Linked DNA regions of Canis lupus familiaris. The protein of the gene in region 1 purifies or fractionates together with the protein of each later gene. This does not show direct contact. Links are inferred from orthologs where the notes say so. Each region holds a gene or a part of one and is shown on either strand. Other genes may lie near its edges. The genes, in order: U2SURP and SNRPA1.

The links.
Region 2: the proteins of U2SURP (region 1) and SNRPA1 purify together in Homo sapiens (affinity purification with mass spectrometry; 5 studies listed by BioGRID and IntAct, with this or other methods). This does not show direct contact. The link is inferred for Canis lupus familiaris from reciprocal best matches to the Homo sapiens genes U2SURP and SNRPA1.

The regions. Positions count from the first base shown.
Region 1 is NC_049244.1:39,144,124-39,159,970, forward strand, and holds part of U2SURP (U2 snRNP-associated SURP motif-containing protein), read left to right. Parts: intron 1-1,653; coding exon 1,654-1,752; intron 1,753-3,535; coding exon 3,536-3,650; intron 3,651-4,113; coding exon 4,114-4,247; intron 4,248-7,062; coding exon 7,063-7,130; intron 7,131-7,710; coding exon 7,711-7,805; intron 7,806-7,889; coding exon 7,890-7,925; intron 7,926-8,015; coding exon 8,016-8,098; intron 8,099-9,066; coding exon 9,067-9,232; intron 9,233-9,639; coding exon 9,640-9,851; intron 9,852-10,782; coding exon 10,783-10,826; intron 10,827-13,910; coding exon 13,911-14,015; intron 14,016-15,094; coding exon 15,095-15,161; intron 15,162-15,238; coding exon 15,239-15,402; intron 15,403-15,847.
Region 2 is NC_049224.1:40,135,620-40,152,050, forward strand, and holds the start of SNRPA1 (U2 small nuclear ribonucleoprotein A'), read left to right. Parts: upstream 1-5,554; 5' UTR 5,555-5,658; coding exon 5,659-5,740; exon of another isoform or gene 5,741-6,257; intron 6,258-7,547; coding exon 7,548-7,695; intron 7,696-9,674; coding exon 9,675-9,753; intron 9,754-13,281; coding exon 13,282-13,328; intron 13,329-13,577; coding exon 13,578-13,680; intron 13,681-14,313; coding exon 14,314-14,393; intron 14,394-14,811; coding exon 14,812-14,887; intron 14,888-15,568; coding exon 15,569-15,662; intron 15,663-16,431. UniProt on the Homo sapiens protein: Involved in pre-mRNA splicing as component of the spliceosome. Associated with sn-RNP U2, where it contributes to the binding of stem loop IV of U2 snRNA.

The DNA.
Region 1 (15,847 bases):
GTAAAATTATGTTTTTCATTGAATTTATATGTAATTTTGCCATTTCTTTAAAGATTTTATTTTATTCATGACACACACACACACACACACAGAGAGAGAGGCAGAGAGAGGCAGAGACACAGGCAGAGGGAGAAGCAGGCTCCTGCAGGGAGCCTGATGTGGGATTCGCTCCTGGGTCTCCAGGATCATGCCCTGGGCTGAAGGTGGCGCTAAACCGCTGAGTCACCTGGGCTGCCCTCTTTATTTATTTATTTATTTTTTAATTTTTATTTATTTATGATAGACACACAGTGAGAAAGAGAGAGAGGCAGAGACACAGGCAGAGGGAGAAGCAGGCTCCACGCACCGGGAGCCCGACGTGGGATTCGATCCCGGGTCTCCAGGATCGCGCCCTGGGCCAAAGGCAGGCGCTAAACCGCTGCGCCACCCAGGGATCCCTGGGCTGCCCTCTTTAAAGTTTTAAAGTTAAAACCACAGATGCTGAATGGTGGCCAAACATTTTTCTTTCTACTTTGGGAAAAAATGTACTTTGAATCTGTTCCTGAAACCTTATTTCAACTTTTGGGTTATAAATTTTTATTTTTTCAAAGTGATTGTAATGTAACTTTAAAATAATTGATAGCAATATTACTCTTCTGTTTCTCTCAAGGGCAAGCCTGTTTAATAACCAGGGGATTGATAAAGTCTAAATTTTAATTAGTTAAATTAAATTTAGGTGGGCAAGAGTGAAACTTGCTGACCTCAATTACAGATTAACATTTTAGGTTGTATTTAACAGACATTACTTTCTTTAAGGTTATGAATCAAAATCTAACATTTAAATGAATAACTGAACAATTAAAGATCTATAGATGATTTTACTTCTGCTGAAACCTGAAATACAGTTATAATGTTCATAAACATCAGTATTACTGATGAAAAATGAGTTAATCTGCTGAATTATAAAAGGAAGTGATGTGATTTGTAGGACCTGAAGTGAAGGTTATAGATGGTATTTAGATTCCTGCTACTGAACTTTGGAAATATATGCTGCCTCTTCCCTATTTGAATGTCTGTTTTCCATCACTGCTTTTTTTGCCTGGAACCATCTGTACTTTTTCTCAAGTGCTTTTATTCTTGCTGTGGGCAAGTAGGTTGAATGAGTTCTAAGCCTTTAGCATCTCTTTCTCTCTCTCTCTCTCTCTTTTTTTTTTTTTAAATATTTATTTATTTATTTATGATAGAGAAAGAGAGAGGCAGAGACACAGGAGGAGGGAGAAGCAGGCCCCATGCCAGGAGCTTGACGTGGGACTCGATCCCGAGACTCCAGGATCGCGCCCTGGGCCAAAGGCAGGCGCTAAACCGCTGAGCCACCCAGGGATTTCCGCCCCCCCCCCTTTTTTTTTTACCTTTTTAAAAGAAAATGGCTTTTGTATGTTATTAACCTTTAGCTAGCAAATGAAGACATTCTTTAAGAAATACTTACATGAGAATCAAGCCCAAGGTAGGCACTTCAGAATAGCTTAAGAATGCTTAAGAATAGCCTCAGCTTTTCTGCTTTACTGTGAAATTTCTTTTTAAAAGTCCTCTAATCTGAAGAGTTGGTTACCAGTTGAGTTATAGATAGCATTAAGAATGTGTGTGTAAAGGTATGCTTTTTACTTCTTTTTATAGCCTCTTCTCGAAAACAAACTTAAAGCATTCAGTATTGGAAAAATGAGTACAGCTAAGCGAACCTTAAGTAAGAAGGAACAAGAAGAGTTAAAGAAAAAGGTAATGTTTATATTTTGAGTTATCCTTGGAAATGGTGTCAAAGTAAGGCAGGGGGTGTAGAGAAATACTTTTCAAAGATTCTTGAACGGGGTATTCTCAGCTCCCACCACCAAGTCAACTCTGTAACACAAGGTACGTTTAGAAGAGTCCTGTTTGTATCCCTGTCCCCTCCATGGCTTCTTCTGTGTAAGACTTGGTTATTTTCTGGTCTATTCTTTTTGATAAGCAAGTGTGTGTAAAAATATATTGTATTCCTTTTTCTCAGATGATCAGTAATATGCTATATACAGTGTACTTTTCTCCATCTTGCTTTTTTCACTTAACATTGTATCTCAGAGATTACTGCAGGTATAATTGAAATGTTCCTTTGTTTTTTTAAATAGCTGTGTAGAGACATACAGTACTTATTTACTAATACTCTGTTGGGCATTTTTGTTTTGGTCTTTTGCCATTACAAATAATGCTATTAATGGATAGTGTTATGCATATAGTTTCTTTGTTAGTTTATCTTTGGGATATATACCTGTAAGTGAGATTACTGGGTTGAATGGTAAATGCATAAATGTAGCTCTGTTGAATATTGACAAATTGCTCTCTATAAAGCCAGGGCCATTTTCCACCTACTCTCAGTAATGTATGAGAGGTTGTTTACCTATAGCCTTACCAACAGAGGATGTTTTTAAAGTTTTGCCAGTTGGCTCAGTAAAAAATAGTATCTCAATGTAGTTTTAAATTTACATTTCTCTTGTAAGTAAGGTTGAACAGCTTTTGTGTTTCTGTGAGCTAGCTGTCTGCGTATATCTAACCCAGTCTTTCTAGAAATTATTGGGTTATCTCTGTTTTTAGAAACTTTGTATATTAAATATATTAACACTTGGTCTATGACACAAGGTGCAGTGTTTTTTCCCAGTCTGTCGATTGTTTTTTTATTTTGCTGCTTGTGTTTTTTTCCATGCAGAAATTGTTTATTGTTATACAACTTTCCTTAAGATTTCTAGTTTTCAGTGTTTTTCTTTCTTGGAGCTTGTAAAGAAATTTCCTCATGTTTTTTGTAATACTTTAATAGTTTCACTTAAAAAAAAGTTAAATCTGGTTCATTTGCAGTTTTTCCTTGGTATATGATGTGGAGAACTGGTTCATTTTTATTTTTATTTTTTCAAATAGTTATCAAGTTATCCCAACATCATTGAAAAGTTGATCTATTCTCCATTGATTTGAGATGCTCCTTTTATTGAATACTAAATTTCCTAGTGTTGTTGGACTTACTTCTCTATTTTCTGTTCTGTTCCATTGGCCTTTTATGCATACATGTTTTGGGTACATTGAGAAGAATTATAATTGAAATTGTCCAGGTTCTTTTTGAGCTTTTTTCCTAATGCCAACTGTAGGGTTATTGCTGCTTCAACTTCTAATACTTATGTCTTTCATGGTTTCTGAGGGAAATCTTTATAATAACTAAATTGTCATGCTTTGAAAATGTCAAAAACATGGAGTTACATGTTTTATATGGTTAGTTGTCATACAGTTTGACTTTTGATGTCTCTAAACAAATTTACTTACTGGGTCCTTTACTGGTTTCATAAATTGCCAGTAGAGGATCAAAGTCTCCCTTAGTTTCAGTGTTAATTTGTATCTAATATCTACTAAACATTAGATATTATTAACTATTAGGTTTTCCTAGTGAAGGGAAAGGTTTTATTTACATTATTCCCTAATGAGTTTCACCCCGTGTACAATAGTAATTTTCATCTTAAGTGATATTAATATCTTCATGTGTATTTAGGAAGATGAAAAGGCAGCTGCTGAGATTTATGAGGAATTTCTTGCTGCTTTTGAAGGAAGTGATGGTAATAAAGTGAAGACATTTGTGCGTGGAGGTGTGGTTAATGCAGCTAAAGGTTAGTGTCAATATTATAATCCTTGAACAAAACCAAAAATTCTTGGTAGAATGACTGTAGGCAATTATGAAAGATGTTTGGTGTCTTTTGAATTTCACATTTCTTTTTTATCAGCACCCTCTAGTGTTGATATTACTCATTAATTAGCAGAATAAATGGCCAGATGTGGATTAACGAGAAATTGGAGCCAGATAAATTTTAAAAATATTTAGTACCTTTCAGTGTTGAATATAGCAGAGCACTTTGCAAAAATTTTAATATATTTCATAGTTTTACTATAAAATGATTAAATTAGTATTTTTGAGAGCAAGGTCGTAGGTAATGTGAATTTAATTTCATATTATATCTTAGTGCTAAAAGCATTTTACTAATTTCTGTTCATTTTCAAATAAAAAATAATAAAACTCCAAATAATAAATTATTTTTGAAAATTAGTTTTGAAACTTAGTGTTTTAAATTTCAGAAGAACATGAAACAGATGAAAAAAGAGGTAAAATTTATAAACCATCTTCAAGATTTGCAGATCAAAAAAATCCTCCAAATCAGTCATCCAATGAAAGACCACCGTCTCTTCTTGTGATAGAAACCAAAAAACCTGTAAGTCATAATTAAATAGGTGACTATTTATGTTCAGAGATCATACTGCCAATGATATTTTAGTACTTCCACTGTAAGCAGGACTTTGGTTTCTTGTTTTTAATTATTTTGGGAGTAGATGTTGAGTTTTGGTGTTTAATCTTCCTAGAGAAGAGTTCATAAATTAGAGTAGGGCATGTAGGCAATATTCTTCTTATATTCTTTGAGCAGTGAACCTTTGGTGTTATACTAAGAGTATACTGCAAGTAAAATGTTGACTATAGGTATAAATATAAAATAACGGGTTTGTCTTTTTAAGTAATCCTGAACTGAAATAATACCAACATGTGTAGTGGCAGTTACCTTGGAAGACTTATACGTATTCCAATAATGTATCTTTAGCCTAGGCACATTTTTGAATTTTATTTGGAATTACTATGAGCTAGTGGCACTTTCTTTTAAATATTCTCAGTGTTAGAAGATTTTTTATTTTTTGATGGTGGGATTTTTCATGGGGGTCAGAAGATAGATGTGGGTCATGTCATTTGGAGCCTCACTGGTGAAGGAATATGATTACATTGAATGATGAGATTCACTTCTCTAGTGTGACTTGGAAAATAGCTCTGAAAGCAATGGAAAAAAAAAAACAGTTTTATTGAGATGTAATTCACATTACCATTTATAAAGTATACAGTTATTTTTTAAAGTGTATTCACAGTTGTGCAGCAATCACTAATCTCTAATTTCAGTACATTTTTATTTCCCCAGAAAGAAACCTTATACCTATTTTTAGTCACCCCTTACCCCTGGCAGACACTAATCTACTTTTTGTCTGTATGAAATTTGCCTGTTTGAGACATTTCATGCAGATGGAATCATACAACATGTGGCTTTTTGTTTCTGGCTTCTTTACTTAGCATAATATTTCAAGGTCCATCTGTATTCTGGCACATTAGTACTGCATTCTTTTTTATAGTTGAATAATATTCTGTTTTATGGATATAACACATACTGTTTATCTGTGTATCACTTGACATTTGGGTTGTCTCCACTTTTTTGCCATTATGGATAATGTTGCTATAAACGTTTGTACGTAGGCTTTTTTTTGTGGACTTATGTATTTAGTTCTCTTATATATACCTAGGAGTGGAATTGCTAGGTCATATGGTAATTAATTTGTTTAACCTTTTAAGAAACTGCCAAAACTTTTTCAAATTAGCTATACCATTTTATAGTCTCATCAGCGTCATATGAGTGTTCTAATTTTTATACATCTTTACCAACACTTGTTAAAATTCTCTATTTTTAAAATTTTAGTCATCTCAGTGAGTGTGAAGTTGTACCTAATTGTGGCTTTGTTTTGCACTTCCCTAATGATGTTGAGCATCTTTTTATGTTTATATCATCCATTTGTAGTCTTCTGTGGAGAAATGTCTTTCAGATCCTTGACCCATTTTTTAATTGGGCGATTTGTTGTCTTTTTATTATTAAGCTGTAAAAGTATTATATGCTTCCTGAAGTCAAGTCTTTTATCAGCTATTTGATTTGCACACGTTTTCTCCCATTCTGTGATTTGTCTTTGTCCTTTATTGATAGTGTCATTTGAAGCACAAAAGTTGGTTTTTTTTTTTTTTTTTTAAGATTTTATTTATTTATTCATGATAGACACAGAGGGAGGGTGGTGGGCAGAGACACAGGCAGAGAGAGAAGCAGGCTCCATGCAGGAAGCCTGATGCAGGATTCAATCCTGGGACTCCAGGATCACGCTGTGGGCCAAAGGCAGGCCCACCCAGGGCCACCCAAGGTGGCTACCCAGCCACCCTGAAGCACAAAAGTTTTTAATTGTTTTTTTTTTTTTTTTCAAAAGTTTTTAATTGTAATGAAAGTGAGTTTATCAGTTTTATTTTTATGTCACTTGTGCTTTTAATGTCATATCTAAGAAACTATTGCCTCAAAATCCTGAAGATTTATTCCTGTGTTTTTCTCTTTGAGTTTTATAGTTTTAGTGCTTAAATTTAGGTATTTGAGTCATTTGAGTTAATCTTTGTGTGTGGTGAGAAGAAGAGTTCCAACCCCAGTTTCTTCTTGCATGTGGATATTCGATGGTTCTCACACTTTTTGTGAAAATAGGCTATTTCTTCCCCCTTAAATTATTTTGGCACTTTTAAGAGAGCGATTTCAAAAGCAGTTTTATTTATTTATTTTTAGATTTTTAAAGAAGATTTTATTTATTCACAAAAGACAAAGAAAGAGGCAAAGATATAGGCAGAGAGAGAAGCAGGCTCCCTGTGGGAAGCCTGATATGGAACTCAATCCCGGGACTCTGGGATCAGGACCTGAGCTGAAGGCAGATGCTCCACCACTGAGCCACCCAGGTGCCCCTCAAAAGTAGTTTTTAAAGAGGAATTCCAAAGATGTTACTGATTATTTCAATAATTCGTAGTCCTCTTAAGGTGACTGTTTTGAAGAGCGTATTTTTGGTAGTTGCTCATGGTGGTTACTTGGCAGTTCAATTCCTTTATGTTCATTAGTTTTGCCCCCTGATTCCCTCTAACAATATTCAGGCCTAAGTATCACAGGCTTTTGGGAGATAAAGTTTGTGGCTGCTTTACTTTAAGACTGCTGCATGTCATTTTCTTTAATTGCTTTAATAATCAAATTGTTAAATTCTTAGTTCGAGAGAACAGGAAGGAAATGCAGTGAGAACAGAAGCATTCATTTTAATTTGAACATAATTGGCACTAAAATAAAAATTATTTAAAATGATCTGATTATTGAACCATTAGTTTTGTTTAACCATTTTTGTTTGAAGTATAACTTGTCATATCCTTCATAGCCACTGAAGAAAGGGGAGAAAGAAAAGAAAAAAAGCAATTTGGAACTCTTCAAAGAAGAATTGAAACAGTAAGTTTTATAGTATGGAGAATGGTTATCATAGGTATATTGAGCCGATACTTAGAGAAGCAGGTATGGAGAAGCAGGTATAGTGTACCAGTTAGCTATCACTAACTCCCTTACCTATGGTGAAGTTGCTTTAGATATTAGTGATTTTTTTAGGGTGTTTTTGAAAATGTATTAGCATGTCATCCAGCATCTAGATTGGTAACAAAATATGGATGCAATTCAATTGATTTATCTAATGTCCGGAGTCCTGTTTGCAGTGGAAACAATGTAGTCACTGAGGTAGGGGTGAGGAGTGAGCAAACTTAACCAAGAAAGGACAGATTCAGTGGTTTTAATGTTGAATTTGCTCCTCACCTTAGAAGTGGGTTTTGTATTCTAATGCTTGCATGACATATCAGAAATTTGCTCATGACTAATAGCTGAGGGACTTTCTTTCTAATCTCGGTTGTTAGTGCTGGCATTTAATTACTTACAAATATTTCAAGTTATATGAACATGGTACCTGGATAACTTATATTCTTAATAACTGTGAATGAACAACTTTTGGCTCATTATTAGTGATAACAAATGTTTTCAACAGAATTCAGGAAGAGCGTGATGAGAGACATAAGACAAAAGGCAGGTTAAGCCGATTTGAGCCTCCTCAGTCAGATTCTGATGGTCAGCGTCGTTCTAGTAAGTGGCATTTATTTTAATGTTTATATTTGTGATTAACTATTCTAAAAAACTAAGAACTGTTTTCTTTTCCTTCCTTTAAAGTGGATGCGCCTTCCAGAAGAAATAGATCATCTGGTGGTAATACAGTTTTTTGCTTTTTTAATTAATAGAAATTGTCCAAATTTTGTAGTTTGCAGGTTATAATTCTTTTCCCCCTCTTTGTCCTAGTTCTTGATGATTATGCACCTGGCTCACATGATGTAGGAGATCCAAGCACTACTAATTTATATCTTGGAAACATTAATCCACAGGTAATATTAGAAAAGTTAGATGAACATTGGCTCATATTTTTTATAATTATGGAAGAAAACTGCCTTGTCAATGAAAAAATAAAATCAAGCACCTGAAGTAAGCAGACTTGATGGAACTTCAGAAACTATAGAAGTCTCTAAAATTATCTTATAAAATTGAGGCTTGTTGATATGGCTGAACTGTCTTGCCACAGTGCTTATCTCGTCTTTCTCTGACTAGACTGTCTGAATTTGAAATGTCTTACTGTGTACTGATTTTTTTTTATTTATCAAATCATGATCTGTGGTGGACAGTGCTCTTTTGAGACTACCTTATGCATAGCTTGCTTCCTTAATGATATCCTTTTTCTTTTTTCTTTTCACGATAGCAAACTAGTAATTTGTGCTTCTTCTTAATTCTTTTCCTCACTTCAGCGTTACTTGTGTTATGAAGAATGTAGTGGTAGTTATCCATAATATGCTCTTTTAAATTATGTATGTTTTGGACCTCATTGTGTATTTACTCTTTTCTCTCTTCTTGATAATGTTGGGTATTGGAAAAAGAGAAAGTGATCAGATCTTTTTTTTTGCTTTCATTACCAACATATATTTTTTACTTGTCTTAAATGTGATAATCACTGTTGCCTGATAAACGTTGCTAAATGCAAAAACAAACCAGTGCCGAAGAACAGCTTATTTTAAATATGCAAGATCTCAAAAGGAACAGGAGGAGAGCTAGATAGAGGTGTACTTTTGATTTATTTAGCCACCAAGCCTCCTCACCCTGAACACTTGTGTTTCTGGTATGAAAAGATTTGTGAATGTCACCTGAGGGCAAGATTTTACTGTATAGAGGTCCTGGTGCTTCAGTGGAAAATTGTAGCATTGATATGTCTCACTGTTCATTTTGTAAACATTTGCTTGCTTTTGGATAGAATTTCCCCCTTTTATTTGCATACCAAAAAAACCCCTCATATGCTTTTTAATAGATGAATGAAGAAATGCTTTGTCAAGAATTTGGAAGATTTGGACCCTTAGCCAGTGTGAAAATTATGTGGCCTAGAACTGATGAAGAAAGAGCAAGAGAGAGAAATTGTGGCTTTGTGGCTTTTATGAATAGAAGAGATGCTGAAAGAGCTTTAAAAAATTTAAATGGTAAGAAAGTTTTTATTGTCTACTATAGAATTCACTTTTTTTCCTGGCTCTGAAAAGTATTTATAAAAACTCGGGGTGGGGGGGGGCAGCCTTGGGGGCTCAGCAGTTTAGCGCCACCTTCAGCCCAGGATGTGATTCTGGAGACGCGGGATCTAGTCCCATGTCGGGCTCCCTGCATGGAGCCTACTTCTCCCTCTGCCTCTCTCTCTCTCTCTCTCTCTCTCTCTCTCTCTCTCTGTGTGTCTCTCATGAATGAATAAATAAAATCTTTAAAACAAACAAACAAAACACCTCTAGGGGGAAAATGGACCAGAACTGGAAAGGTTAAACATGAAAAATAATTCAAATTAACAGAAATTTTTTCTTTTGAGAGTTAACCAGGGTGACCTTTCTTTTCTTTTTTGTAGGAAAGATGATTATGTCTTTTGAAATGAAGTTAGGTTGGGGTAAAGCTGTGCCTATTCCTCCACATCCAATATACATTCCGCCTTCTATGATGGAACATACACTTCCCCCACCTCCATCAGGACTGCCTTTTAATGCGCAGCCTAGAGAGAGGTTAAAAAACCCCAATGCTCCAATGTTACCGCCACCTAAAAACAAGGAGGATTTTGAGAAGGTAATTTAAAAAATGTACATAGGGCCGCATCTTAATTTGTAAATACTAAATCTGTGGTAGTCTTTCTTTTCAATAATTTTATAGAAAGTGTGTGTGTAATTCTGTTTGACAACTCTGAAAGAAATAAGTAGATGTGTTCCCTGCCTTAGCCCATGGAAACCCTATATTGAAATACTAGGTCATATTTTTATTTGTGGCTACCATTCCTTTTTTGACCACTTAAGTTTTTTTCCCTTTTGTCCACTGTTGTATCCAGGTTTGCTTAAGTGCAGTATCTAAATTTACTTTGTTCTGAGAAAGTGATATTTTGTATTTGGTTAAGTGACTTTTCAATTAGAAAAACCTAAATAGTTAAACTGTTTGGATGGCTGCTAGCTAACTTAGTTCTCAGGATCTGAGATGTTAGAGTATTTGAGAGCGTATGTGGTTTTTTAAAACAGTTAACTGCTCTAGTTAAAAGCAAAGGGTGAGTATTTTCTTTTTATTAAACATAAAACCAACTTAATTTCAAGTTTATAAGAATTTGTTGGTTCTATTATGAAATAATTACACTTAAAATGACAGGGCTGGTTTTAAAGGCTTGGGAACAAAGTAGCAAACTGTATGGTCAGAGGCAAACAGTTAATTATTTCACAAATTAAAATCTTTATCTGATAATTCTCGGTGTAGTACCTATTTCAGTGCATTGATGTGCATTCTGGCAGGAATGTTCTGATTCTTTGCATTTGGTGAACAGTTATTGTTCACTGAACACATCCATTTGCATTTATGTAATTGCTTAGTGTATAATTACTTCAAATGCAGTGATTGCCTGCAAAACTTTGTGATTAGATGTGTAGTGTTTTCAATGCATTATGTATATTTTTGCTTGTTACTTGTTAACAATACTCACATATTCTATGTTTATTATCTGATGTGACTTCATATACAGACTCTGTCGCAAGCCATAGTCAAAGTGGTTATCCCAACAGAAAGGTACATGTTTTTCTTTATTATTACTGATCTAAATATAGACAATATCCCCTTCTGAATTAAAAAAAAACTGGTGTTGAGGAAAAGGTAATATCTTGACTGAGCAATGGTTCCTTCCCAGTACTTTTTTGGGGGGATATGTGACTAACTCTAGTATACTTTGCAATTTTATGTCATTATCTTTTTGTTTTTATTGTTGTCAAAGTAGGGAATTTTATAGCTTTAGTAGTTAGAATGTGTTTGATTTAATCTGGAGTTGTTAGCCTGATAATATTAGACTATTGTGATGGGAAAATAGGTGTTTTAATGTATCTTAAATTGCATATAATGTTACAATTTGACCCAATCTGTTTTTTTTCTCTTGGTTCCTGAATTACTGTGTTTAATATGCAACCTTAGTTTGAGTTCTCCTTATGGAAGGGCATAGCTTTGGTTTTTTCTAATTGATTAGGAATTCCTATTATTTTCATGAACACTGAACATACTAGAAATTTTTTTCGTGGTAACAAAGGTGTTTGGAATTCTTTTATTTTCCTTTCTTCCTTTTTTTCTTTTTCAACATAATGATAAAGCAGAAGAATTCATGCTCTAGGTATGCTCTTGCTCAGTCAAGCTAAGCCTTTTCCCAAACACAGGAACACAACACTGGTTGAATAATAAATGAACACAAAAGAATACCAAATTCTCTTTGACATTGGCCTTGGTGAGCAACACCAGCTGAACTGTCTGCGGCAGCGGGGGACCAGGAAAACATCATGGGATGGATTGGGAAAGTATACAGTTTTTGACCAGACATTGGTACGATCGACTCCAATAAATGTGGTTTTATTATAACTAGAGACAATTTTTTGGTTTTTTTTTTTTTTTGTTATTGTTGCCCAGAGTAAGATAATTGCCATTTTAAAATAAAATAATGCACTTTAAAATATATCATCTTTTTGTACTACACTGTTTCATTCTGATAGAAAAGTCACCCTTTTAAAAATGATGTTAAATACACAATCTTTAAATAAAAATGTGATTACAATTCTTTAATAATCTTGAATTCAAGCTAGTAACAACTAATTGTCAGATTTTGATTTTAAATAATCACATGAAACATTTTAAAACTTTTAAACTTTAAATTTTCTAAAAATACATTTTACCAGTTTACAAGCCTGTTTAAAACTATAGTGGGTTATTTTTCCACTGATAAAGCATTCAGAGGAAAGTATTTTTGTAGCATTCAAAAAGCATATTCCAGTAGTAGCTTTACAGTGGTTCAGCTTATTTCTAAACTAAAATTTGAGTATACATTTTGTTGAAGCTTCTTAACTCACCATTACAGTGAATCCTTTGTTTAAACTTGCTAAACCATTTTTCATTTATAATATTCAAGTCAAGTTGCATTTGACTTAATTCATACAAGTTTCTGGATGTATAGTATTTGTCCCCCAGTAATTGATTTTATATATTACGATATTCGCATAAAATATCCCTTCACTTGAATTTGACATATACCAGCAGGAGTTTTGGAACTGAATCATAAGTTTACATTATCTCCCTTCTCTCAAAATAATATACCTATATGGGTGCTGAGAATACATTCTCATTTGGATATCAAGAGCTGCATATTTGCAGAATAATTAATACTTCTGTGAAAGACAAGTAATTTTTAGATATAAAATTCAGTGATGCTTTTTTGTTTGTTTTAACAATTTGAGGTTGAATTAATAGTTTTAAATATTAGTTTCCCCTTTATTAAAGATTTAAACTTTCGTATAATTTTTTTGACCTAGTGGAGGTCAAAAAAATTAAATTTTTTCACCATATAGAGATTTTAGTGTTCATTTAAGTAGGTTGGTTTGAATTGTGAGAAAATAATTACAGTGACCATGAGATAAATTATTTTATTGTTTATGTACTCTGAAGCAGGGCATTATAGAGCCAAAAAAATCTGTCTTATTCTATAACTACATATCTATTTATATTCTAGCAATTACATGAACTTAATTTGAGCTGGGAATGCTAAAGGTGTAATTTAGTGTGTGCCTTGTACCAAGAGCCAATATCCTTTTGCTTTTCCCAATTACCATTTGCTTACTCTATATGCTGGGGACTGGTGAAGTGAGAAGTCAAAAGCAGCTTATAATAAGCTGAGTCATTTTTGCTAGATGCTGTAATCAATGTCTAAAATAGTGTTTTATGTCACATGATTTTAGAACCTAGATTTTCAAAATAAAGATTTTCTTATGAACCCAGCCAATAAAATGACTACTAAAAAATTGAAGTTTCTTTTTGGCTTAAATATTGGAAAGTAATTGTTCTGAAAAATGGGAAAGGCATCTCACCATGTCCCTTATTTTGGAATATTTTGGAAAGAGGACTCCATTTAAGGCTTTGGCAATATAATTGCTTCATTGAGTCATAATATTCAGGCAGAATTATACATGTCATGAGTTGTATGAACCATTTGAAGTGTGATCCAAAGGGATGTTGCCTCATTAAAGGTCAGATTCAATAAAAACTCTGTCTGCTGTATGTGTACCAGAAAAGCACTAGAGTTGGATGGATTTTTTATTAAATCAGGCCTTAAACTTGTTAATTAGTTTTGCATTTTTTACAAATTATAGTCATGTATATAACATTTCAATACCACCACAAAAGTGCTTGGTTTAGGAATATTTTCTTTTAAAACTGAGATAGTGTGTAAGTTTTTAGATGGCTATGATAACATGTAAGCTGTAAGTTTACTGATTTTATATATTTGCAGCTTTCCAATTAGTTGTGATTCATAATTTAATGTTTTGCATTTGGAAAATAAAATTAAGTGGCATTTAGAAAAAAATATTTATTGCTATGAAGCTGTGTTGTGGTTTCCCACCTTCCCTTCACCTTTCCTTCCCCTCCCACTCCCTTATCCCCATTGTCCCACTCCCTCTTAATGCACAAGGCATTAACATATGCTCCAGGTTATTTTTTGGCATAAAATTTTGTATTAGTCAGCAGAATAATCTTTTTCTGCACATTTATAGTAACTTAGGTCAAGTATAGTTTTATATAGTGGTAGGTCTGAATCCATTTTCTTTAACTGTGTTGTTGTTGTAGGAATTTGCTCGCCCTGATACATCGAATGATAGAGTTTGTTGTACGTGAAGGGCCAATGTTTGAAGCTATGATTATGAACAGAGAAATCAACAATCCTATGTTCAGGTGTGCATTTTTTTTATTGTGGTAAAATATACAAATAATAGAAAATGTACCATTTTTGCCATTTTTAACATGTACAGTTGAGTGACATCAAGTGCGTTCACATTTTCGTGCAAACCGTCACCACTATCTCTAGAAATTTTCTCATCTCCCATGACTGACATTGTACCCCTTGTACAGTAACTCTATATCCTGGGTCTTCCAGCCTCTGGTAGCCACCATTCTACTTTGTCTCTTTGAATTTATTTACTCTAGTTAACTCATATAAGTGGAATCATTCAGTCCTTGTACTTTGAGACTCACTTCATTAAGCAGATCTTCAAGATTTGTCCATGTCGAAGCATGTATCAGAATTTCTTTACCTTTTAAAGCTGAATCTAGTCCATTGCATGTATTTACCACGTTTTTTATCCTCAGGTGTGCACTTAAAAAATACTTTTAACTTATTTTTTGGAATTAAAAATATTTCCAAGAATAAAGTTCTAAAAGTGTGTGATGATTTTTGCAATGGGTTGAGAAGGTAGTTTTAGTAATTAGACTGGATGTACTTGGGTCAGTTTTCCATCTGATTTTAATTTAGGTTAATTAAATAACATTGGTTTTAGCAGTCTCTGGGAGGAAAATACTACTCTTTATGTTTTCCAGTGAAAGAGTTCTTCATAGTAGAACAATAGAGCTTTATAGAAAATTGCTTATCTTCTGATAGGTATGGTATCTAAGACATTTATTTAACACTCCTAAGTCTTCTAAAACCCGCTCCTTTTGAAATTTCTGTTTTGGGAAAATCCATTGCCATATATAATACCTGACATAAGTGTTCAATAAAATTGGTTGTAAGACTCAGTAAGATGCATACATACCTTCTGAGAACTAATGTTCATCACAAAGGCAGTCTGGGGGCTAGGGTGAAGAAGGGAATAGATGGCAGAAGGCAGTGGGTGAGGATTTCTTTTAGGGATCTTTGCTTTTGGTTTTATTTAAAATGAAATAGGCAAATAATATTTCTCATTTGTTTACATTTAATTGAAGACATTTCTTTGTTAAAGTGTATGATGTTTAATTTTTTGTTTGTTTTGTTTTAGATTCTTATTTGAAAACCAGACACCAGCCCATGTTTACTATAGGTGGAAGCTTTATTCTATTCTGCAGGTAAGTGGAATCAAAACTTTGTTAACTTTAGCTCTGAGATATTTTGCCTTTCTAATAACATTCTGGACATTTATTAGGGAGATTCTCCAACTAAGTGGCGGACAGAAGATTTTCGTATGTTCAAAAATGGGTCTTTCTGGAGGCCACCACCATTAAATCCATACCTGCATGGGATGTCAGAAGAGCAAGAAACAGAAGCTTTTGTAGAGGAGCCCAGTAAAAAGGGAGCACTTAAGGAAGAGTAAGAATTTTTTCTTTTCCTGTTACATATTCAGAAAAGTTGCTTTAATAATCGCTTTAATTAATGGTCTTACTGAGATGTTAGCCCTAAAATAAAATGTTTTTTCTTTTACTTGTGTGAATGATTAAAATATTAACATTTCTCATCATGTGCTATGTAATTTGAAATGTCCTGGCAAGTATAAGTGTGTGTCCTTTTGACCTTTTTCTCTCCTTTTGATAAAAAACCTTCTAAACCTCTCATCGGTTGGTGGTGATCTCTTAGCAATGATTCTCTAGCAGTGAAGTATTTGTGATTCTTACAGAAATTATCTTGGGACCTTTAGAATTCTTGGCTCTCTGAATGCAACATTAAAGAAGAAAAAATTACTGTAGAGCTTTGTGAAGTCTGATGGTTGGTTATGCAGTCTTTCCACAAGAGTTTGCAGTGTGTGGCCACCATGAAA
Region 2 (16,431 bases), on another chromosome or scaffold:
TTAGATCATTCTTTGCATGCTCTAGGTTCTTTCAACCTAGAACAATTCATCAGTTCCCTGACTTTCATAACCTGGAAACTTTGAGACCATCGGCCTGTTACTTGTAGGCTGTCCCTCAGTTTGTATTTATCTGAGGTTTCCTCACATTTCCATTCAGATCATGCATCTTGGACAGGAATCTCCCAGAAGTGATGCTGTGTTCTTCCAATCCCATTCTAGTAAGTGAATCATTTTTTTTTCTTTTTTTTTCTTTTTTTTAGTAAGTGAATCATGATTTTGATATGTTCCCATTATCGGTGATACTAACACTGATCACTTGATTAGGGTTCTCCTCCCCACCTCTCCTCACCCCAGCCTGTTAAGGATGTCTGCTTCTAGCATTGCCCACAACATCATGCTGAAGATCCCAGCCAGTGAAACTACACAAAAAATAAAGAAAAGACTGATATAGGGCAGCCTGGGTGGCTCAGCGGTTTAGCGCCACCTTCAGCCCAGGGCATGATCCTGGAGATCCAGGATCGAGTTCCATGTCGGGCTCCCTGTACGGAGTCGGCTTCTCCCTCTGCCTGTGTCTCTGCCTCTCTTTTTCTGTGTGTGTCTCTCATGAAAAATAAATAAAATCTTAAAAAAAGAAAAGACTAATATAAAAATTGGAAAGAAATAAAACTATCATTATTCTCAGCATGGTATGTACACAGAAAACCCAAAAGAATGGTTATGAATCATTAGAATTAATATGTGAGTTTAGTAAAATTGCTGGATACAATGTTAGTATTAACTGTATTTTTTTTTTTAAATTTTATTTATTTATGATAGTCACAGAGAGAGACAGAGACATAGGCAGAGGGAGAAGCAGGCTCCATGCAAGGAGCCTGACATGGGATTCGATCCCGGGTCTCCAGGATCGCGCCCCGGGCCAAAGGCAGGCGCCAAACCGCTGCGCCACCCAGGGATCCCTATTAACTGTATTTCAACTAGAAATTGTTGAAATTGTATTTCAGTGTCTCACATTGAATAATTAGAACATGGGATTTGTTTTTTTGTTTGTTTGTTTGTTTTGTTTTGTTTTTTTTCAGTTTCTGGTGCTTCTTTAGCTTTTTGATGTTTATAACAGCAGCAAAAACTATTATATACCTAGGTCTAATAAAAGATGGATAAGACCTCTACATACACACAAAAAAACTATAAAACACTATAAGAAATTAAAATCTAAATTCATGTAACGTTATACCATGTTCATGGATTGGAATACTCAATACTGTAAAGATATTAATTCTCCAAACTTATCTACAAATCCAATATAATATAAATCAAAGCATGTGTTCTTTCCTGGATGCAAAATTGACCTAAAATGTATACTAAAAAGCAAAGGACAAGAACAACCAAGACTTGAGGATCTTTAAAAAAAAAAGGTGTAAGCCTTTTTAAAGGCAAATATCAAGTTTTTTTTTTTTTTTTAAAGATTTTATGTATTTATTCATGAGAGACACACAGAGAGAGGCAGAGATACAGGCAGAGGGAGAAACAGGCTCCCTGCAAGGAGCCCGATGTGGGACTTGATCCTGGATCCCAGGATCATGCCCTGAGCCAAAGGCAGATGCTCAACTGCTGAGCCACCCAGGTGTCCCAAATACCAAGTTTTTAAGTGACAGTACGATATTATGCCAGAATAAGCAACCAAACCCATGGACTAGAATAGCTAGTCCAGAAGCAGACCTTCACATATTTGGACACTTAATTTTTGAAAAAAGTTACTGCAGAACAGTGGGTAAGGGTTGGTCTTTTCAATAAATGATACTGAATCAAATGAATATCCATATGGGGAAAAAAGATATCTTGATCCCTACCCCAGACCATACACAAATGTCTATTCCAGACATACTGCAAATCCAAATGTGAAAGGTGAAACAACAAAACTTTTAGAAGAAAATATTCATGAGTTGGGGGTGGGCAAATTTCTTAAAGAGGACTAAAAAGAACATGAACTACATAAGGAAAAGTTCATAAATTATACATTAAAATTAAGAACTTCCAGGAATGCCTGGGTGGCTCAGTCAAAGCATCTGCCTTTGACTCTGGTCATGATCCCAGGACCCAGGGATCAAGCCCCATGTTGGACTCCCTGCTCAGAGGGGAGCCTGCTTCTCCTCCTCCCTCTGCCGCTCCCCCTGTTTGTGCTCTCTCCTTCTGTTAAGTAAATAAAGAATTTAAAAAAAAATTAAGAACTTCTGTTCATCAAAAGACACCATTAAGAAAAGGCAAGTCACAGAGAGGGGGAACATATTCACTACACATATATCTTACGAGAACTCATATCCAAAAAATATAAAAATCTGCAAATCAGCAAAAAGAACAGCCCAATAGAAAAATGTGCAAAACACTTAAACAGACATTTCAAATAGCAGTGATCTAAATGGACAATATTTTTTTTTAAAGTTCTCAATTGTGTTAGTACTTAAGAAAATACAATTAAAACCACAATGCAATACCATTGCTGACCCACCAGAATAGCCAAAATTAAAAAGACAGACACTATCAAATGTTAATGAGTGTAAATTAGTACAACCACTTAGGATAACTAGTAAGAATCAACTTAAGGTGAATGTAAGTTAACCCTATGATCCAGCAAATCCATTTCCATGTATGTATTAGCATATGTATTCATAGGTGCTGTATTCATAGGTGCACTATTATAATAGGTGTACTATTTTTAATTGTTCAAACTGGAAATTACCCAAATGTTCATCAACAGCAGAATGGATAAATTGGAATATTCACACAACAAAATACTATATAACAATGAAAATAAGTTAACTACAACTAACACAATGTTAAGCAAGAGATACATAAGGCACAATTTTATTTGCATAAATATAAAATTAAGCAAAACCAATCTATGCAAGACGTGGTTACCACTAGGGCAAGAGTGTGACTAAAAGGACAAGAAGGGAGTTTCTCAAATGTGGCAATGTCCTGTTCTTGATCCGGATGCCAGTTACTTGGGTGTGCTTGGTTTGCCTTCTGCTGTGAGTATATCATAATTCAATAAAAATTTCAAAAGGAATGAATTCTGGGGGATGGTAGAGCTACGTGTGAAAGGTAAAACAATTAAGCCTCCAGTAGACAACAGCAACAAAATATTTGGGGGCACATGTACAGACATACAACCCTCTAACCAGAAAGGAAAAGATGAATTGAATTACATAAAAATTAGAAACTTCCAGTCATCAAACAATACCATTAAGAGTGGAAAGGCCAGGCAGCCTGGGGTGGCTCAGAGGTTTAGCGCCGCCTTCAGCCCAGGACCTGATCCTGGAGTCGCAGGATCGAGTCCCACGTCGGGCTCCCTGCACGGAGTCTGCTTCTCCCTCTGCCTGTGTCTCTGCCTCTCTGTCTCTCTCTAGGTCTCTCATGAATAAATAAATAAAATCTTAAAAAAAAAAAAAGAGTGGAAAGGCCTGTAAGCAGAAAAATTTTTTCTGTCCCAGACTACATGACCACAGTGAAACTTTGTCCCAACAAAAGAGGACAAAAGATAGTCAATGCGTAGGGCTTTCTGAGCTAAGCTTTTCCTCTGAGAACTCCTCTTGAACTGGACCATTTGAAACCTTGTTCTCACTGCAAAATGGGTTGAGGAAGCTACTTTAGTAGCCTTTTGATTTGAATTGCAGCCAGATTATGATTTGGTGATCTAGGGAATAGGATGTTATCCTAAACAGAACATAATGGACTATAATTTGTGTTTGCTGCATTGATGACTTGTACAAGGACAGTATTTCTGGTCTCTGCAAATTCTTTTGTATTTAAGCAGTTTTAACCAAAAGAAAAAAAAAAAGTGCAAAAGGAGGCCTCAGAGTGTGCTCACATCCAGCATACATAAAGAAATCCCATTAATCAATAAAAAAAAGTCAGACAATCCAGTAAGAAAAGAAAACGGACCACAGACTTGAATGGGCACTTTGCAAAAGATACCTGAATAGACACCATACATGACAAGGTCCTCAACTTCATTAGTTATTAGAGACAAGCTAATCAAAACAATAGTGCAACACATCCATAAGAATCCCCATAATTATTTTTTATACTAATATTATTTGTTTTTATTATTATTATTTTATTTTTTAAAGACTTTATTTATTCATGAGAGACACACACACAGAGAGGCAGAGACACAGGCAGAGGGAGAAGCAGGCTCCATTCAGGGAGCCTGATGTGGGACCTGATCCTGGGTCTCCAGGATCTCGTCCTGGGCTGAAGGCGGCGCTAAACCGCTGAGCCACCAGGGCTGCCCTACTATTATTTGAAAGAGAATTTGCATGCACAGGGAGGAGCAGAGGGAGAGGGAGAGAGAATCCCAAGCAGGCTCCTGGCTGAGCCCAATGGTCGTGCTCCATTCCACTACCCGAGATCATGACCTGAGCAGAAATCCAGAGTCCCACGCTTAGCCAACTGGGCCACCCATGCACCCCAGTCCCCACAGTTATACTGGCAATACTAAAGGGGCTGAGGTTGGAAGTGATGGAAACCCTCTTGCACACAGCTAGAGTATGTATATTAGTATTATTTCAGCCTCTTGGCCTGTTAGGCATTACTTATTGATGATAGTATACCCTATGCCCAGAAGCTCTACTCCTGGAGAAACTTGGACACGTGTGCATTGGATCCACGTACAACAAAAATGCATAGCGGTATTCGGAACAGCCCCACGACAAAACGATCCTAATGTCCATCAACAGCAGAATGGCTAAATTGTGGTCTGAGATATACCATGGGATTCTGCACAGCAGCGAAAAGTAAACAAACCATTGCTGGATGCAACCTGGGACGGATTCCAGTTATAACACAAAACCAAAGACACCAGGCACGGGAGCACGCTGCGTGACTCTATTTGTATCAAAAGCAAGCAAAAACTAATCTGTGGTGTTGGGATTCCTGGTTGCCTTTGGGAAGGGATGGAGGCTTTCGGAAAAGTGTTCTTTTTTCTGGACCCGGAGGCAGCAACGCAGGTGCGCTCCCTCTGCGGGTATTCTTCACGTTGCAGATTCCTGGTTTGCGCACTCTTCTGTATCCCGTGCTTCTGTTAAATATTTAAATACCTGGAGGTCACAAGCCTAACCGAAAACTGAACTGTGCGCGGGGCAGGGTCGGGCGCGCTAGGTGGTAAGACGATCCCAGCGGGGCGGGCTGTGATCGACCCTGCCCTGGTGGGGCGGGAATCCTGAAGTCCTGAACCTTTCACTGGATCCCCCGGGTGCCCGTCCCTCCTGGGTGGGGCGAGGGCAGACACAGCGTTTCCTCCCGCCTCAAAATGCATTGATGCATGAGAAAGTTCTATTCGGGTGCGATTACATTTTGCTTAACTTGCGGACAAGAGCATCATCAGGAATCAGGGGCCCTCCTTCAAGCACGCCCCAAGGAAAAACCCAGAACCCGAGACACGTTCCGCGCGCTCCAGCAGCTCCGCAGACGACGAGATCGTGGGCGTTGCTCACGATCGATTACTTCGGCCTGGGTGCCGAGCGGCGCGCGCATGCGCCGGCTGCGATTGGTGAGGCCTGGCGGCGGGGCGCGGGGTACGCCGGGAAGTCTGGCGGGCGGGAGGCGGCGGGAAGCAGCCGGTGGGCCGCGGCACCGGCAGCGGCAGCGGGAGGCAGCAGGATGGTGAAGCTGACGGCGGAGCTGATCGAGCAGGCGGCTCAGTACACCAACGCCGTGCGGGACCGCGAGCTGGATCTCCGGGGTGAGTCTCGAGGAGTGGGTGGGCCTTCGCGCCCAGCCGCGTGCTCGGAGGGCCGGCGCTTGGCCCGCGGGCCTGCCTTGTGGGCGCCGAGCCGGACTGTGGCAGCACCGCCCGGGGCTGCGTCTTCCCGGTGCTGCCAGAGACCATCCCTAGGCCCTTCTGAGCCTTGGGTTACCCTCGTTCCTACTCACACGCCCAGCCAGTAGATCGCTTCCTGGTCCACAGCCGAGGGCCTCAGGCAGGCCTTGCTTGGCGTAGTTCTCAGTCTCAACTATTTGAGAGCTGGCAAGTTGTTCGTGCTGGTAACGCTAGTGCGCAGCGGCTGGTTGGTTCTTCGTAAATACGTTCAGGTGTTACTGTGGGAGCGTAAGTAAGAGAACGTGTTACCTGTAATTTGCGAGGGGGGAAATGACGTCGGAGAACAAAAGCGATTGCTTCCGCAAGATTTCTTCCCTCTTCCCTTCAGTTGTCCCATATTTCTCTTTTATCAAAGCATTTGAGGGGCACCTGGGTGGTTCGGTCGGTTAAGTGTCTTTGATCCCCAGGGGTCCTAGGATCCAGCCCCGCATTGGGCTCCCTGCTCCGAGGGGAGCCTGCTTCTCCCTCTTTCTCTGCCCGCTGCTCTCCCTGCTTGTGCCATCTCTCTCTCTCTCTCTCTCTCTCTCTCTGAAATCAATAAGTAAAATACTGAAAGAAAAAAAAAAGGTTTTAAAGAGGCTTGCAGTACAAGTTCCCTGTGTAAGGCGGTAGAAGCTCTGAACTATTCAAATTCACGTAGCCATTTCAACCTTAGTAAAGGCTTGGTGGGAAATTGGGAGTGCAGCTGTCTAATCAGCATATCAAGGAAATGACTCTAGGAATGATGTGAAGAGCAGTTTCTCTGGGAATACAATTTGGGCCTGAGATTTGGCTCCACAGAAGAACACCGTCTGAGGTGCAGCACTGTTGTGGGCTTTGCCTTAAGCTTGGATTCCTTGCTGACAAAGCCAGACTGCTTTCATTTTGTTGAAATTAAGTGTCGCTCTCTTGGCGAAGATTGATCTTTAACCATCTAAGCGTGAAGTGCATCGAGTGTTGAGGCTACTTGTTTTGATATAGCGTTTGCTTTGCTACAACCCTTGTTGCTCTGAATTATGTACTTTAACCTTGGCTTGGATTCGTTTCTTTCTTCCGCCAGCACCTAGCACAGTAGTTATGCCCATTTAAGACAAACTCGTGAGGGTTTGGTGAATTGTTCACAGGGTGATGTATTATTGTGTATAAACTGTTGACCTTCAACTCTGAATTGGAGCTGGGGGAAGTGTACAGTAAGGGAGAACTGTCATGAGATCACAAGGATATCCTGGTAAGTTTTATGTATCTGGCCTGTGGGAATGCAAACAGAGTCAAGAGCTGTTGTCCACAATGTATGAACAAGACTTGGACGCTGACAAAAAAGCAGCTTACAATGTAAATTCTCATTATGCCATTTACCTATTTCTGGAGCTTTGGTTATAACAGCGTGAGGGACCTTAAAAAATACTCCTGCAAATGTTAGCTACCAATATTACTATTAATAAGTGTCGGGTGTTGTCATGACTGACTTCATGTCCACTCCTAGACTGTGGCAGTGGGCCATCTGATCCTTGTTCCTCATTTTATGTGCCAGATACTTGCACAGTGTTTGGCACAGCACAGGTACCAGGTAAACACTTTCTAAATAAATGGAAGCTTTGAGTCAAATTACCATGAAGTACTGCTAAGGTTTTAAGGTATCGTTTAGCCATATCAATACTTGTGTATTTTTTTTTTTCCTTCTACTTTGCAGGGTATAAAATTCCTGTCATTGAAAATCTGGGTGCTACCTTAGACCAGTTTGATGCTATTGATTTTTCTGACAATGAAATCAGGAAACTGGATGGTTTTCCTTTGTTGAGAAGGCTGAAAACATTATTAGTGAACAACAATAGAATATGGTAAGTGTCTGCTAGTGGAGAGTAATTCTCCCCCCGCCCCCCAGAGTAAATATTGCAGCATTCCCTGAAGAAGCCATAGTACATATACTGCCAGTTGAGCCTACGTATTCTTATTTATTTATTTATTTATTTATTTATTAAGATTTTATTTACTTATTCAAGAGAGACTTGGAGAGAGAGGCAGAGACACAACACAGGCAGAGGGAGAAGCAGGCTCCATGCAGGGAGCCCCATGCAGGACTCCATCACGGGTCTCCAGGATCACACCCTGGGCTGTAGGCAGCGCTAAACTGCTGGGCCAGTGGGGCTGACCTATGTATGTCTTTTTTTTTTTTTTTTTTAATGTATTTCTTTTTAAAATGAGAAACAAGCTACACTTTTGCCATATAGGCCCATAGATTAACTTGGTAATGGTCTTGTTTTTATTTGCATTTGTTCAGAAATACTTATATATTCATGGTAATAGATATTTAAATTGCAAATATTCTGTTTTGTGCATATTTTGGCTTCTAAAACTAATTGTAATTATCAGAGGGATTATATTTAGAAGATATGTAAAGTTCAACAATTTTATATAGATAGATAGACTGATTTATTTTAGGGAATGAAAGCCCATGCCTGAGAGCAGGGAGTGGTGCAAAGAGAGAGAAATCCTCAAGCAGCTTCCCCACTGAGTGTAAACCTCCTTGTGGGGCTCTGTTGCAGCACCCTGAGATCGAGACCTGGGCCAAAATCAAGAGTCAGGCGCTTAACTGACTGAGCCACCCTGGCACCCCCAACAGTTATATTTTTGGCTGAATGAATGTCTCTAACTCACACCCTCTGCCATTTGTTTTTCTTTACAACTGATGTTTAGAATTTTACATATATATATATATATATATATATATATATATATATATTTAAGATTTTTATTTATTTATTTATTCATAGACACAGAGAGAGAGAGAGAGGCACAGGCAGAGGGAGAGGCAAGGCTCCTCACCGGGAGCCTGACATGGGACTCGATCCCGGGACTCCAGGATTGCTCCCTGAGCCAAAGGCAGGCGCTAAACCGCTGAGCCACCCAGGGATCCCCAATCTCTGAGTAAATTCTATCAAAAAAAGTTGTTGAAAGTCAATAGACAATGTTTTTAAGAAGTATTAGGTAGTGACTTTCTTATTTTTTTATTTTTAAAGATTATTTATTTTAGAGAGAGCACACACATGCTCAGATGCAAGTGGAGGGAGGGAGGGACAAAAGGGGAGAATCCAAAGCTGACTCTCCAGTGAGCATGGAGCCTGGCACAGGGCTCCCTACCAAGACCCTGAGATCACAACCTGAGCCAAAATCAGGAGTCAGACACTCAACTGACTGAGGCACCTCAATGACTTGCTTTTTAAAAATGTCGTATTTCAGGGGTACCTGGGTGTCTCAGTGGTTGAGCATCTGCCTTTGGCTCAGGTCGTGATCCCAGGGTTCTGGGATCAAGTCCTATATCCAGCTCCCCACAGGGAGCCTGCTTCTCCCCCTGCCTGTGTCTTGGACTCTCTCTCTATCTCTCATGAATAAATAAAATCTTTAAAAAAATTTTTTCTTATGGATTTAACCATTCCCTGATGTAGTTGTTGTTTGTTGTGTACCTGAGGTGTGAATGCAGAGTCACTTGTACTTCTGTGCTACCTGCACAAAAGTTCTACACGGGAGTTTCTTCTTCTCTTAGCTTTCACTAGATAGTGTGGTGATGGAAGGAACCCCAGGCAACCCTTGGGAGGCGTAGGTTCTAAAATCACCCCACTTCCGCCACTAACCTTGTGACCCCAGACAAGGTTTTCCCTTTCATGCTTCATTTTCCCTGTCAAATAGGGTGGTGGAACAAAGATCTCTAAAGTTCTTTCACCTTTAGAGTCTGAAATCTTCTGTTCAAGGATTTAGATAAAATGGTTAGCTTACCTACTTTTTTTTTCACTTTTACAGAAGTCTTTTATTTTCATTTTAGCCGTATAGGTGAGGGACTTGATCAGGCTCTACCCTGTCTGACAGAACTCATTCTCACCAACAATAGTCTTGTGGAACTGGTAAGTCCAACCGGGTGAGGGGGGTGTATTTGGGGGAGGAATTAAAGGTGCTACTTGCCTCTTACAACTTAGAAAGTCCAGAAAGTTTTTTCATCATCCATCATCCTTTATCTTCTTAATTCAAGATCAGGGCCTCGTTCAGTTAAATAGCCTTTTCCACTCTGTAGCTCATCTTTTTTTTTTTTTCCTTTTTTTTTTTTTTTTTTTATGATTTTATTTATTCATGGAGACAGAGGCAGACACAGGCAGAGGGAGAAGCAGGCTCCATGCAGGGAGCCCTATGTGGGACTCGATCCTGGGTCTCCGGGATCCCGCCCTGGGCTGAAGGTGGTGCTAAACCACTGAGCCACCCAGGCTGCCCTTCCTTCGGATTCTTAAAGGAGTACTTAACTCCAAAAGTAAGAGAGCACTGACTGGTCAGGCTGTCTTTTCTAAAATATACCAGATTTTCAACCCAAAATGCACATTCAAAGGAAATGTGTGCCAGGATAGAGGCTGTATTTTTATGTATATTGTATTTATATTTAAAGCTGTTTGTAAAGATGAAGGCTGAGTTTGTGCTATCAGTTACTGGAAAAGGTGTGTTAAAGTCTCATACATTGGGACGCCTGGGTGGCTTGGCGGTTAAGTATCTGCCTTTGGCCCAGGGCATGATTCTGGAGTCCCGGGATCGAGTCCCATATTGGGCTCCCTGCATGGAGTCTGCTTCTCCCTCTGCCTGTGTCTCTGCTTATCTCTGTGTCTCTCATGAGTAAATAAATAAAATCTTAAAAAAAAAAAAAAAATCTCATACATCTTCCTGGATTTGACAGGGAGTTGTATTTTAGTAATGTATTTTGAAGTTCTCTTAGTTGATATACACAAATTTTAAATTGTTAATACCTTCCTGGTAAACTAACCTTTTTAATATTGTGTCGTGCTCCTCTTTATCTTTTTTAGTGATATTTTACCCTGTTTATTTTATCTGCTGTAATTACGCCCAAACAAGCTTTCTTTTATTTAGTATTTGTATATTTTTTTCTATCCGAAATTAACTTCAGGCTTTACTGTAACTTATGTTTTAGATTTATCTCTTGAAAACAGCGAATGATAAGATTGTTTTGTGAAATCCAGTGTGAAGTCTTTCTTTTAAATGAAGTATTTGGTCTGCTTACATTTAATTTAATTACTGGTGTATTTGAGTTTGTCTTCTCACTTTTTCTGGAGGTTATTGTTTGACCCACTCATCATTCATTTCTTTTTCTCTCTTTTACTGTGTTCACTCTGTGTGTGTGTGTGTGTGTGTGTGTGTGTGTCTCTGTGTGTGTCTCTCTGTCATTCTTTTCCTAAGAGTGTAGGAATTACTCATTCCTATTCTTAGTATTGTAGGAACTAAAATACGTATTTATTACAGTTTTGAGTTAACCAATACCTCTAGTTTCTTAAACAATAGTGACCTTAAACATTTCAAACCCCCCACATATTATTTACTTAATTCTGTCTTTAAGAAACCCATCAAGACACTGTTTTCCACAGTTTCTGTGTCTCTGTGTAACAAAAGTTGCCATTCGTTGTTCCTTTTTGTTTTGTTTTTTTGCAGCTTTACTGAAGTTTGAGTGATAAATAAAAATTGTATGTATTTAAGATGCAAAGTGTGATTTTGATAGATGTATAGTTTTGAAGTGGTCACTGTTACCAAACTCACATATTCATCACTCAAGTATTTACTTTTTTATTTGTAGGGTAAGAGTACTTGAGATCTATTATCAGCGAATTTCAAGTATACAGTAGTAAATAGTCCCCATGTCAAACAGAACTTACTTGTCTTATAACTGAAAGTTTGTACTCTGATCAGTAGCTCATTTCCCCTCCTCCCCCACACTTCAGCCTCTAGTAACCATTCTTTTTTTTTTTTTAATTTTTTAAAATATTTATTTATGATAGTCACACAGAGAGAGAGAGAGAAAGAGAGAGGCAGAGACATAGGCAGAGGGAGAAGCAGGCTCCATGCACCAGGAGCCCGACGTGGGATTTGATTCCGGGTCTCCAGGATGACGCCCTGGGCCAAAGGCAGGCACGCTAAATCACTGCGCCACCCAGGGTTCCCAGTAACCACCATTCAACTCCGTGTTGCTGAGAGTTGTTCGTTTTTCTTTAATTATTAGATTACACATACGAGTGAGATCATTCGATGTTTGTCTTTGTCTTCTTTTAGGTCATCTTGTGTATCCCTTTTAGGGGTGACATGCCAGTAGCATGCTCTAGAGCTCCCTCTGATGGTTGATTGTGAAGCCTTTAAAAATAGCAACCAGGGGCAGCCTTGGTGGCCCAGTAGTTTGGCGCTGCCTTCAGCCCAGGGTATGATCCTGGAGATTCTGCATCGGGCTCCCTGCATGGAGCCTGCTTCTCCCTCTGCCTGTGTCTCCGCCTCTTTCTCTCTCTCTCTCTCTCTCTCTCTCTCATGAATGAATAAACAAAATCTTAAAAAAAATAAAATAAAAATGGCAGACTATTTTCTGAACTCCTACTCTGTACCCCTGTACTTTTCTCTCATTATTCCTTTTGCCTTGTCCTCAATTTCAGTCTGGTCCTACCAGTCTATCCTCACTGTAGGGCTTTGTCCTGGAAAGGATACCATTTGTGTTTAGTACGAAGAATGAGGGCCAGAATTGCCCAGTTGCTTCAGGACTTAATGTACTCCTTATTGGAAGATACATAGCTATTGGCTGCTGTTCTCAGACTGAACTCTTGGTCATTTTGGGGTATTCACATTTGTCACAAGCCTTTCTGCTGTCCTGCTGTTGCTTCCTGTACAAATGCTGGCTCCCAAGCCAGTCTTGCAGCTCTCACAATGGTCTGTCTCTACCTGCTAGGATTCTTGCCAGAATGCCTTTTCGTCTAGGTTAATTGTAGTTGTTGACCATAGGCTTTTGGTTTTGCTATCCTTGTTGAGCTGTATCTTATGTGATAATTTGGAAAGAATCAAAAACTAACTTGCCTTTATCCCATAATTGTGTCCTTTTTCTTCCCCCTATACTCTTTGTCCTTGAATAATTATCTAAAGCAGTTTGAGGGAACCTTGAATAAAGGTGCCAGGCCTCAACGATGATATGCCTGTGTCACCACCAGGCATGTCCAGGTACTAGTGGTAAAAACCGCCTTACCCCAAGATCCAGTTTGAGGTTCCTTGTGTGAATAATTTGCTCTGAAGTCACATAAACTTTAATATATTTCTTTTCTAAATAATTCCTTTAAAGTCTAGCCCTTTTGAGCTTGCTACAGGACATATAATTTTTTTGAGGGGGAGGGGTCTCTTAATATTGAGACAGAAGCTGTTATGGCTAGGATTTTCAGTTTAAGAAGTTCAAATCTACTTAACAGTTTAGTCAGTAATTTACTAAGCATCGGTGATGTGCTAGTATTGTGCTAGGTGCTAGGGCATTAAAGAAATAAAAGATAGGAGTCCCTGTTCCAAAGGCATCTGCCATATCAGAGTATCAGAATAGCCTATGGTATTCATATTCTTACCTCTGGCCATTTCTTTTACAGGGTGACCTAGACCCTTTGGCATCTCTCAAATCACTGACTTACCTAAGGTATGGAAATGATCTGTGGTGGTGACAGTTAAGTCCTTTATAATAGCACCATTACCAGCCTTGATCTTAGAGCAAACAGTTAGTAAGAAGGACCTTTGAAAAACAAGGACTGAAAATGTGAAACCTCCCCAATGTGAATTTAATAACTCTGCAACATGACAAAATTGACTCATCTGATTCCATTAAAATGGACCTGTTGAATGCTGCACTGTGAGTAAGATTGGCATTATGTTATTCCTTTTCTTGTAGTATTCTGAGAAATCCTGTAACAAACAAGAAGCATTATAGACTGTATGTAATTTATAAAGTTCCGCAAGTCAGAGTACTGGATTTCCAGAAAGTGAAACTAAAAGTAAGTATTGTTCTGTGGGTTATAAGTCATTGTAGATTCGTGTGTTTCATTTTATACTTTTGTTACTGATTTTTTTTTAATTGCCTAATGAGTTTTCCTATTGGTTTGTAATAAAAATGTGGGAAGGAAAATGTTAAGTCCTTTATTTTTCATAGCAGAGTTTATATAGCAGGACTTTGAGTTAAAGCTGTCTTACATGGTAGTGTTGGTCATTCAGAGGTAGTACAATATCAGAGCAACCATGAGCACCATCAACAACAGATCGTTTAGATCCACTCCCCTGTGGGGACCTTAGTATAATCCATTTTTCAGCAGCTGTAATTGTTAGAATGATTTTCTCTTTACTAGGTGTGTTTTTGGTTTGTGTGTGGTTTGTGTTTTTTGTTTTTTCTTTTTAAACATTCTTAGTTCCTCCAGACCCCCTCCTCGAAACTAGGAGGGGGAGCTTTCTTCAGGGAGCTTTCACCAGAGAAGGCAAGGCCATTTGTCTCCTTTTAATTTGAAATTGGCTTTTTGGTATTTTTACCAGCCCCGAGTGTTTCAGGAGAGTTTCCTTCCATGTTTTCTGAGGAATGCATTTAAATGCATGTGGTATTCCTATTTCCATTAACTCTGTGTGTGGTGTTGCTGTAGGAGCGTCAGGAAGCAGAGAAAATGTTCAAGGGCAAACGGGGTGCACAACTTGCAAAGGATATTGCCAGGAGAAGCAAAACGTAAGATACAGATAATCCAACTTCACTCCACTTCACCTTCAGAAACACTATCTGTCTGGCTTTTTGCCCTCCTACAGAATTAAACAAAACACCTGTGACTAACACAGTATTGAATTCGTGTGATGATAGCCCCGTGACCATCACTGGTCCACACATCACATGAGATTTCCATCAGGTTAGCAAATACTTCCATGTTCAGTCTTAATGCGACATTGTATACTTCCTGCTTCTTCTCTATAGGAAGATGAACTGGGTGGTGTTTCTGAAGGAGGGAGTTTCTTGTATCAGTTTGTTAACAAAGATAAGATACTACACTGGTTGAATTACTTTCAAAAGCTTTTTTTGAAAGTAAAAGAGAAGCAGTTTCCCTTGTCTGGATTTAACAGTTGCATTCTTCCCTCTCCTTTCCCCTCCCAAGTTTCAATCCAGGTGCTGGTTTGCCAACTGACAAAAAGAAAGGTGGGCCATCTCCAGGGGATGTAGAAGCAATCAAGGTAATAACGGGTTAGGACTCTTGGACTGGAAAGAGTTGCCGTGGGTTTTAGGACATGAAATATGTAATTGACCAAATTCTAAACATTGTAGTGTCTTCCCCCACCCCACCCCACCCCACCCCACAACCCCACAAGAGTTAGGTTCCTGCTATGTTCCGTGTAAGGAAGGAACTAGCTTAAAGTTACTACCTGATTTTGACTTGAATTATTTACATGAGCCAGTCAAAGCAGAGGCAGCTCTGGTTCTTTGTCATTTTCCCAGGATCTATTTTTTTTTTTTTAAATAGTTAAATTACCTTAGCATGTTGTCTCAGTGTTTGCCTTAGCTTTTCAAAGATTTGCTGTCTGAAAGATCTGTTAGTTAATCATGGGAAATCCTAATTTCATAATACTGCTTCCTAGATTATCCAGTAACATAGTTCCAAAAAGGTGCTTTAATTCACTAAATTGTTAGGACATGTGCAATGATTATTTTCTCTCTTGTAAGAGGGTCCACATCCATCTACCAATTTGGGGAATTTATGATTTGGTTTGATTTCAACATGACGATAAAATTCTTACCCCAGCACAACTGTATAATAGTCCACCTCACAGAGTTGCCGTGGACTTCTGTAGGGTTTTCTGTGTGATTGACACTTAGATGCAATAAACTGGTCATGTCCATTGTTTTCTGTCCTCCAGAATGCTATAGCAAATGCGTCAACCCTGGCTGAGGTGGAGCGGCTGAAGGGCTTGCTACAGTCCGGTCAGATACCTGGCAGAGAACGCAGATCAGGTCAGGACATGACTTCCAAATAAATTAATGTTATACTTGAAGTGATTCCAAAACAGTTCAGATGCTATGACCCCAGAAATGCTTGCATCAACGTACACGAAATCCCTCTATATGCTCTTCAAAGAGAAGTTGTTTGATGTAGAATATTATGATATAGGACTCTGAGAGTTTTTGATGTAAAAGTTGAAACATACATTATTCCCCAGCCATGCAGTGAAACCGAACACTAGAGTAACCTTGTAGATTTGGACCCGTGTGTATGTGTGTCTGTGTGTAGGATAGATACCTTACTACTTGGAAACACAAGCTTCGGGGGCAAACAGCATGAAGCTCAGATCTTAGCCTCACCGGCTCTATCTTTAGGTGAATTTCTTCATCCTCACTTAATTTTAAGTCCATATCTTCATTTTAAATTTTGAAGTAACATATAGTAACAACTTCAAAAGGTTTTTGGGAGGATAAGTAAGACAGTTCATAGATAGCACTTACAACATTAGCCTAAATTTTCGGTAAGCGTTGGCTATTCTGATATTTGAAGGCCAACTTTGTGACAGGATGTTGGAGGTGTAAAGTAAAAACTACTCAACATAACACATAGTATAAGTTTTGATATGGATGTAACTGAGGGCTTCTACCTCGCCTGGCAACTCAGGGAAGGTTCCCTTGAGCAAATCATGTTTGAACGGAAGCAAAAAATGAGTAAGACATTAATTAGACCAGTGGTTCCCACTATGTAGCTCTTGAGCCTGCAGGCATCTCAGAGGTGAGA